2 linked regions of the Macaca fascicularis genome follow. The protein of the gene in region 2 purifies or fractionates together with the protein of the main gene of each other region. This does not show direct contact. Links are inferred from orthologs where the notes say so. Each region holds a gene or a part of one and is shown on either strand. Other genes may lie near its edges.

The links.
Region 1: the proteins of DERL1 (region 2) and SERPINA1 purify together in Homo sapiens (affinity purification with western blotting; 4 studies listed by BioGRID). This does not show direct contact. The link is inferred for Macaca fascicularis from reciprocal best matches to the Homo sapiens genes DERL1 and SERPINA1.

The regions. Positions count from the first base shown.
Region 1 is NC_088381.1:162,414,263-162,419,211, reverse strand, and holds the start of SERPINA1 (alpha-1-antitrypsin), read left to right. Parts: upstream 1-1,823; 5' UTR 1,824-1,866; intron 1,867-2,211; 5' UTR 2,212-2,302; coding exon 2,303-2,418; intron 2,419-4,949.
Region 2 is NC_088382.1:132,692,437-132,697,429, reverse strand, and holds the start of DERL1 (derlin-1), read left to right. Parts: upstream 1-1,700; 5' UTR 1,701-1,899; coding exon 1,900-2,052; intron 2,053-4,993. UniProt on the Homo sapiens protein: Functional component of endoplasmic reticulum-associated degradation (ERAD) for misfolded lumenal proteins. Forms homotetramers which encircle a large channel traversing the endoplasmic reticulum (ER) membrane.

The DNA.
Region 1 (4,949 bases), on a different chromosome or scaffold from region 2:
CTGTTCCACAGATGGGAGGGACAGTGGGGCTTGGAGTGGGGGTCATGGCACAGATGGGAAAACGAAGGCTCAGAGAGGGGAAGAAATGCCCAGCAGGTACCGAGGGCAGGCGACCTCAACCACAGCCCAGCACTGGAGCTGTGAGTAGACGTAGAGTAGTAGAATATCCATTCAGCCAGCTCAGGGGAAGGACAGGGGCCCTGAAGCCAAGGCATGGAGCTGGCAGGGAAGAGAGCTCAGAGAGAAGGGGAGGGGAGTCTGAGCTCAGTTTCCCACTGCCTGAAAAGAGGGTGGTACCTACTCCCCTCACAGGGTAACTGAATGAGACTGCCTGGAGGAAAGTTCTTCAAATGTGGCCCACCCCACCCCAGTGACCCCTGACATGGGGGAGGAAGGACAGCATCAGAAGGGACTTTCCGGGCACACCCAGCACCCAGCTCTGAGCTGTCCTTGAACTGTTGCATTTTAATCCTCACAGCAGCTCAACAAGGTACATACCGTCACCGTCCCCATTTTACAGATGGGGAAATTGAGGCTCAGAGCAGTTAAACAACTCACCTGAGGCCTCACAGCCAGTAAGTGGGTTCCCTGGTCTGAATATGTGTGCTGGAGGATCCTGTGGGTCACTCGCCTGGTAGAGCCCCAAGGTGGAGGCATAAGTGGGACTGGTGAATGACAGAAGGGGCAAAAAATGCACTCATCCATTCATTCTGGAAGTATCCACGGCACGTACGCCAGCTCCCAAGCAAGTTTGCACATTGCACAAAGGGTGATGCAATCTGATTTAGGCTTTTAAAGGGATTGCAATCAAGTGGGGCCCTACTGGCCTCAACCCTGTACCACCCCTCCCTTCCATCCCCAGTAGTCCCCAAAGACCTCCATCAACCCCAGGATGGGGGCCGTATTCCCAAAGAAAATCCAAGCTGTATACGCATCACACTGATTTTCCAGGAGCAGAAACAGAAACAGGCCTGAGGCTGGTCAGAATTGAACCCCCTCCTGCTCTGAGCAGCCTGCGGGGCAGGCTAAGCAGAGGGCTGTGCAGACCCACATAAAGAGTCTACTGTGTGCCAGGCACTTCACCCAAGGCACTTCACAAGCATGCTTGGGAATGAGACTTCCAACTCTCTAGGATGCAGGTGAAACACTTCCTGGTTCAAACAGGTGAAGCGGCCTGCCTGAGACAGCATCACGCTTCTTTACAGATTTGCTCTCCCACCTCTACCCTGTCTCATGGTCCCCCATGCTGGCCTGACGCTTGTGTCTGCCTCAGTCATGCTCCATTTTTCCATCCGGACAATCAAGAGGGTTTTTGTGTCTAAGGCTGACTGGGTAACTTCGGATGAGCGGCCTCTCTGCTCTGAGCCTCAGTTTCCTCATCTGTCAAATGGGCTCTAACCCACTCTGATCTCCCAGGGCGGCATCAGTCTTCAGCATCAGGCATTTCGGGGTGAATTAGTAAATGGTAGATCTTGCTACCAGTGGAACAGCCGCTAAGGATTCTGCAGTGAGAGCAGAGGGCCAGCAAAGTGGTACTCTCCCAGCGACTGGCTGACTCACGCCACCCCCTCCACCTTGGACGCAGGACACTGTGGTTTCTGAGCCAGGTACAATGACTCCTTTTGGTACGTGCAGTGGAGGCTGTATGCTGCTCAGGCAGAGCGTCCGGACAGCGTGGGCGGGCGACTCAGCGCCCAGCCTGTGAACTTAGTCCCTGTTTGCTCCTCCGGTAACTGGGGTGATCTTGGTTAATATTCACCAGCAGCCTCCCCCGTTGCCCCTCTGCACCCACTGCTTAAATACGGACAAGGACAGGGCTCTGTCTCCTCAGCCTCAGGCACCACCACTGACCTGGGACGGTGAATCGTAAGTATGCCTTTCACTGCGAGAGGTTCTGGAGAGGCTTCTGAGTCCCCCACGGCCCAGGCAGGCAGCAGGTCTGGGGCAGGAGGGGGGTTGTGGAGCGGGTATCCGCCCGCTGAGGTGCCGGGCAGATGGAGGGGCTGCAGCTGGGCTCCTATTGTCGTAATAACAGCAGCCATGAGGGTTGTGTCCTGCTTCCCAGTCCTGCCCGGTCCCCACTCAGTACCTACTGGTGGATACACTGGCTTTTGTAAGCAGAAGTGCACGAGGGTGTCTAGCTCCGCGGTCCTGGCACCCCAAGATACAGCAACAGCAAGGAAGCGCAGCCATTTCTTTCTGTTTGTGCAGCTCCTGTGTCTGTCAGGGGGTTCCTATCTGTTGTCTCCTGTAAGCCTCACCACCTCTCCTACTACTTGGACACGCATCTTTTTCCCCTTCTATGGATGAGGAGGTTAAGGTTCAGGGAGGGGTGAGGAGGAACGCCGGCTCACATTCTCCATCCCCTCCAGATACGGCCAGGAACAGACCTGTGCCAGGTCTCAGCCTTACATCAAGGTGGGTCTCCCCCTGCACTGTGGACCTCTGGGCCCTCCTGTCCCAGTGGAGGACAGGAAGCTGTGAGGGGCACCGTCACCCAGGGTTCAAGCTGGCATTCCTGAATAATCGCTCTGTGCCAGGCCACGGCTAAGCTCTGTGCACAATTAAGCCTCATAACCCTCCAAGGCAGTTACCAGGGTGATTCCCATTTTACAGATGAGGAAGTTGGGGACCGAGTGGTTAATAACTGGCCCCAAATCACACACCATCCATAATTTGGGCTCAGGCACCTGGCTCCAGGCCCCGAACTCCTGAGCCTGGCCCTAGTGCTCACCGTTTCTCTCAGGTCTCAGGCGCTGGATGGGGAACAGGAAGCCTGGGCTGGACTTGAGGCCTCTCTGATGCTCGGTGACTTCAGACAGTTGCTCAACCTCTCTGTTCTCTTGGGCAAAACATGATAACCTTTGACCTCTGTCCCCTCCCCTCACCCCACCCGACCTTGATCTCTGGAGTGTTGGAAGAATTTAATTTTTCCTGCACTGAGTTTGGAGACAGGGGTCAAAAAGCTGACCAAGGCCAAGCTGGCCAGTTTCCCATAGAACGCCTCTAAAAGACCTGCAGCACTAGCAGCAAGAACTGGTATTCTTGAGAACTTACTGTGCACCAGGCACTTCTTGGTATTTTGTGCATATTTAATTTCACAATAACTCTATGACAAAGTCCACCTTTCTCATCTCCAGGAAACTGAGGTTCAGAGAGGTTAAGTAACGTGTCCAAGGTCACACAGTTAATAGCAAGTTGATCTGGAGCAATCTGGCCTGAGAGCCTCTAATTCTAGCCACAAACTGAGGCTGCCCCTCTTCATTTAGCCAGGCCACCTCTGAAATCTTCTGGTTCAAGACTTCTGGCTCCAGCTTTGTACACAGAGACTATTAAATGTCAGGTTTTGCAGTCACATCTGTTTAATCCCAGACAAAACATCTGGGATTAAATCTCAGTTTTGTAAGCAAGTAGCTCTGTGATTTTTAGTGAGTTATTTAATCCTCTTTGGGCCTCAATTTTTCTGTCTATAAAATAGGGTTCATCATTTACACCTCATAGGGTAAGCTTTGAGGACAGATTAGATGATACAGTGCCTGTAAATCGCCTGGTGTTAGTAAGTGTGGCAATGATGGTGACACTGAGGTTGATGTTTGCTTAGCATAGGTTAGGCAGCTAGCAGGCAGTAAACAAATACTTGGAGAATTTAATGGAAAATTGGCCAAACTCAGATGCTGTTCACTGCTGAGCAGGAGCCCCCTCCTGCTGAAATGGGTCCTGGGGAGCGCAGCAGCTGGCAGGAAGAAATCTGCCATCTCTCGGGCAGGAGCTCAACCTCTGTGCAGGCACAGGGACGGCTTCCGCACCTGGTGCCCACTCTCGCATTACGTCAGTTATTCCTCATCTCTCTCCAAGGGATTCTTTTCTCCACTGTATAGCTCTGAAGCCAATGCTCACAGAAGTGAAGTCATTTACCCCGGGCCCCCTGCCAGTAAGTGACAGGGCCTGGTCACACTTGGGTTTATTTATTGCCCATTTCAACAGGTCGTTTGACCATAGGCGAGATTCTCTTCCCTGCACCCTGCTGGGTTGCTCTTGGTCCCTTATTTTATGCTCCCGGGTAGAAATGGTGTGAGATTAGGCAGGAAGTGGCTTGCTTCCCTCTCCCTGGCCCTGCAAAGGGTGCTCCCACCTGCCCCAGTTCCAGAAATGTCACCATGAAGTCTTCATTCTTCTGTTTTAAAGCTTGGCCTCAGTGTCCATACACCATGGGGTACTTGACCATCTACTTTCTCCTCTCCAGCCGCCCTCCCAGGCACTAGCTTTTGAGGGTGCAGGGTGCTGCCTCTGATAGAAGGGCCGGGAGAGAGCAGGTTTTGGAGTCCTGATGCTATGAGGAACAGCTTGGGAGGCATAATGAACCCAACACGAAGCTTGAGACCAATGTCAGAGCCCAATTCTGCCATTCATCATCTGAGATTTGAGGGCACAGCTGTCTCAGTCCGTGATCTGAGTGCTGGGAAAGCCAAGACTTGTTCCAGCTTTGTCACCGACTTGCTGTATGGCCTCGACAAGGCCCTGACCCTCTCTGGGCTTCAAACTCTTCACTGTGAAAGGAGGAAACCAGAGGAGGTGATGTGACGCCAGGAAAGATGGATGGGTGTGGGGAATTGTGCTCCTCCCAGCTGTCACCCCCTCTCCACCCTCCCTGCACCAGCCTCGCCACCTCCTTCGAGCCCAGCAGCCTCCTGTCTAGGAGGGTGCCTCTTCTCCATCTGTTTTGCTACATCGAACCCAGATGCCATTCTAACCAAGAATCCTGGCTGGGTGCAGTGACACTCACCTGTAACCCCAGCACTTTGGGAGGCCGAGGCAGGCGGATCAAGAGGTCAGGATTTCAAGACCTGCCTGGCCAACATGGTGAAATCTCGTCTCTACTAAAAATACAAAAATTAGCCAGACGTGGTGGCATGTGCCTGTAATCCCAGCTACTTGGGAAACTGAGGCAG
Region 2 (4,993 bases):
ATTTTATATCAAAATTATCTTTTTGTAAGGCTGTATCAATTTATATTCCCACCGGCTGTGTTCTTTATATATTTGCTATCCATTGGTCCCCAAATGTTGTTTACTCTCATTACACTGTGGAATATTTAATGCCTTTTTGTTCTGCAAAAACCGTTTTTATTAATTAACATCAAGGATACGGTGCTGACAAATATTCTCTACAATTACAGAATGTTGGAAACTCTGCTGTCTGACATTCTTTCCGTGTGAATGGAACATCCCATTCTTGTCCAGAGCATCTGAGCCAGGCAGGTGACTTTGACACAGGATTTTCAATACAGGTACAAAGTTTTACATAGAGTTTTCAGACCCAACGTTTCACATTTGTCTTAACTTTGAGATTTCCAAGGAAAAAGCCTGCTTCTTACTCAGTCTAATGTTAACCTGATGCTACACACAGCTCTGCTTTGCTTTGTGTCTATCAAACACTGCTCCATTTAATTTTTACCAAAAATTCCCCTCATTCCCATAACCCAATAATGACACTTCTGTTTGATGAGAGGCATTGAGGTTCCTCTGGAGTGCAGTCTCCCTTGCTGCAGCAAGTTAATAAATCTAACTTTGTTGACTACAGGTTTGTTCCTGGTGGTCTTTATGGGAAGACTTTAGCAATCTTAAACTGTAGGCCCCAAATCCCAAAACAACAGGAAACTCTACTCAGTATCTTTTCTTTTCTTCTTCTTCCTTTTTTCTTTTTTTGAGACGGAATCTGGCCCTTGTCCCCCAGGTTGGAGTGCAGTGGCGCGATCTCGGCTCACTGCAACCTCCACCTCCCGGGTTCAAGCGATTCTCCTGCCTCAGCCGCCTAAGTAGCTGGGACTACAGGCGCCCGCCACCACGCCCGGCTCATTTTTGTATTTTTAGTAGAGACGGGGTTTCATCATGTTGGCCAGGCTGGTCTCAACCTCCTGACCTCGTGATCCGCCAGCCTCGGCCTCCCTTAGTGCTGGGATTACAAGCCTGAGCCACTGCGCCCGGCCAGTATCTTTTCTTAAAGATTCCTTTTTACACAAGATGAATTAGACAAGATGGATCATTTTGGCTTTTAGTTTTTCCAACGTTCCAACCTAGTTAGAGCGGCTGTTTTCTGTGCATGGAAAATTCTTTCCCCAGATCTTTGCCTGGCCCTGGCCCAGTTCACACCTAAAGTAGCCATCTGTCCTCACACTGCCGCAACCCGACCCCGTCACTCTACCTCATCTCATTTCATTTTCCTATTTTTCCAATCACTCTCTGAGATTATCTTACTTCATTATCTATTTGTTTATAAATTATCCCAATGAAGATGCAGGATCAGGAGAGAGGATACCACGACAGCGCGGACAGCCGCAGCTGCCCGGTGTCTAGAACTGTGCCCGACGAACACTTGTGGAATGGGTGAGTAGACGAGGAACTAGACACTTCGTTTGCCTTCGTCCCCTTTAAATACCCTCCAAGTGGATCCAGCCGTATTAAAACTCTGAGAAATAGGTGAATGGCATTTGGCCTCGCCATTGGCTGGAACTTTTGCCGTTGCTCCTGGCAACCACTGTTTTCCCACCAGTCGTGTCGTCGCCCTACTTGGCTCCGCCCCTCAGGGCGCCGAGCCTCGACCGGGCGGTAAAAATCGGCCCTTGCCCTTTAAGCGGCGGGACTTCTGGTCACGTCGTCCGCGGCCGCCGGAAGGGGAAGTTTCGCCTAAGAAGGCTGTCTCGCTGGTCCGAATTCGGTGGCGCCACGTCCTCCCGTCTCCGCCTTCTGCATCGCGGCTTCGGCGGCTTCCACCTCGATACCTAACAGTCGCGGAGCCGGCCGCGTCGTGAGGGGGTCGGCACGGGGAGTCGGGCGGTCGTGTGCATCTTGGCTACCTGTGGGTCGAAGATGTCGGACATCGGAGACTGGTTCAGGAGCATCCCGGCGATCACGCGCTATTGGTTCGCCGCCACCGTCGCGGTGCCCTTGGTCGGCAAACTCGGCCTCATCAGCCCGGCATACCTCTTCCTCTGGCCGGAAGCTTTCCTTTATCGGTTTCAGGTACTTACCAGAGACGGGGGGGCGTGGAGACTACAGGCCCCAGGAGGATCCGCGGCGGCGGAGCGTAGGCCGGCATGTTGCGGACGCGCGGTGCCAGCTGGGATTTGTAGTGCGTCCGGAGCCGGCGGTTTAGGGCGGGGTCCTTTGGGCCGGGGGAGGCTGTGGGAGCCGGGTCCTGGATAGCTGGAGTTGTGGGCTTGGCCTGGTGGGGAGGGGTTGACTTAACTAGTTTAGTGAGATTGTGCTTCCCGCTCTTCGCACTCATGAAGGAAGCAGTGAGATTAGTCGGCGGTAGTTGTCAATCTGTTGGACGCTGGCAATTAGGTCCGCCTGGAGCATTGCCCTCTGACCTCCCTCTGGTCACCCACGTGGGTGGCCTGTAGGTGTTAACTTCACCTTCTAGCTGAGTTCCTTTCACGTTAATGGAGTTTTTTTGTTTTGTTTTGTTTTTCCTATAGGAATGATTTAAAGTCAGAGATACAAAGAACGAGTGTATTTTTCTGCATTTCCCTCTAGCCCTAATTTAGTATCCCCCACGTAGTAATAGAATGTACGAAGGAATGGGCAAAGAGTAAATTTGTCCAGAAATAGAAGGCCTTGTTATTTTCTTAAGCATGAAGGAAACGGTCCAGAGTAACATTTGTGTCAAGAGAGTGCTAGTTTTCAGAAGGTTATTTGTATTCACCAATTTCTGATTTAAAACTTTAATCAGCGGCAGGTCAGATAGCAAGATCTGGCATTAATTTCAGCCCTTTGCTTGGCCTGTGGATGACGTTTTCTTGTCTTTCTCTCTCTTCACTGGGTATTATTTCTTGGTTTCCTTTGCTGGTTCCTTATCCTCCTTACTTTTAAATGTTAGGATGTTCCTTAGGAAACAGTTATAGGACTTTCTCTATAGACTCTCCCTAGCTTTAGATGGTCTCATGCATTCAGCCTCAGGGCTTTATGTTCTTTCTGTAAACTGGAGATTCTGAAATGTCAATATAAATATCTTCAGTCCAGATCTGTCTCCCGATTTCCAGATTTGTACATCCAACAGTTACTTGAAATCACGACTTGGATGACTAAGAGTCATCTTCATCTTAACGTGTCCAAAACTGAATCCCCTTTCCCCCTTTGCCTTAGAAGTGAATAGCAACTCCATTATTAGAGGAGCTGAAGTTAATTGTCAGAGTCATCTTTTATTTTTCTTGTTTTTCTCACACCCCGCAATCTGTCAGTAAATCCTGTTGACTCTATTTGAGACATATACCCAGAATACAATCCCTTGTCATTCTCCATTGCAAACCATTATCACTGCAATCTGGTTCCTTTCCGTCTTTTCTCTAGACAGCTAGAGTGATCCTTTTAAAACCTAAATCAAGTGCTGTCATTCCTCTGTCCAGAATCCTACCATGTCTTCTTATTGAGTAAAATCCAAGTTCTTTCAGCGGCCTGCAAGGCCCCTGCTGCCTCTCTGACCTCATCTCCTACTGCTCTCCAAAGTCTACCTTAGGCTCCACAATGAGATCCTTGCTGTTACTTCAGTGCTTATCTGGATCTCTCCTTAGGGCCTTTGCACGTGTTGTTTCTCTGCCTGAGGAAGATAACCGTGGCTCACTTGTTTACCTTCTATCATTCTTCAGGTCTCTGCCCAAATGCCCTCTTATTGACAAGGCCTTCTCTGGTGGCCCTATATAAAATAGCCCCTCCTTCACTTCACTCCCTTATCCTTCATTTTTCTTTTCTTTCTTTTTTTTTTTTTTTTTTTTTTTTTTTTTTTGGAGACGGAGTCTCGCTCTGTTGCCCAGGCTGGAGTGTATATGGTGCAATCTTGGTTCACTGCAACCTCTGCCTCCTGGGTTCAAGCGGTTCTCCTGTCTCAGCCTCCCAAGTAGCTGGAATTACAGGCGCACACCACCATGCCCAGCGTATTTTTGTATTTTAGTAGAGACAGGGTTTCGCCATGTTGGCCAGGCTGGTCTTGAACTCCTGACCTCAGGTGATGCACCCGCCTCAGCCTCCCAAAGTGCTGGGATTAGAGGTGCGAGCCACCGTGCCTGGCCTTATCCTTCATTTTTCTTGCTGCATATTACCCTTTGGTATTTGTCTGCTTCCCCTCAGAGAATAAGGCTCCAAGAGAGCCGGATCTTTGCCTTGTTCACCACTGTCCTTGTTACCTAGAATAGTGCCTGGCACATAGTAGGTGCTTGTATATTAACTGAGTTGTTGGAAGTAATTGTTCACTTGCTGTGTGTGGGCACTGGGGTGCAATAGTAAATAGGACTGAAAAGGTTTCAGATCCTGTGAAGACATAGAGGCACGTGATTTAAGGGGTGTAATATTTGATAGGGTGTTCCACCCCGAAAGGCCTCAGAGAAGACATTTGAAGAAATTGGAATACTGAGGAACCAGCCAGCTTTGAGTGGATCTGGCTCTGGAGACAACCAACCAATTCTGTGACTCAGCCTGGTGCTTATATTTGCCAAGCTTTTGCTTACATAACACATTTAACCTGATGACAGCAACCTTAGGAGACTGACTTAAGAGTGTATTGGGGAAGAGAGACATTTCAACATAGCAGGGAGGAGAATGAACTTGGACTATAGGCTGAGCGTAGAAGTTCTATATCCATCACTAGTAATTCTAGATCCTTTCACTAGTAAGTGAAAGACTCAGAGGTAGGAGCTGGGAACAGGAAGAAGACTGGGTTGCCAGCTGGCACAGGGTCAGCTGTAGGATGAGGATTGGTAGATGAAGGCAGGGAGATAGCCAGAGCTGGGTGCAGTAAAGCTAAGATGGAAAGGTGGGTGAAAGCTAGATCGTAGTTGAGCCTTGTATGTCATGTTAAGAGGTTTGAACTTTATTTTGAGGGCACTACGAAGTCTTTGGAGCCTTGTGAACAAAGGACTGACAGATTGCCCCGACTACTCTGTGGAGTGGACTTTGTGTGTGTATGGAG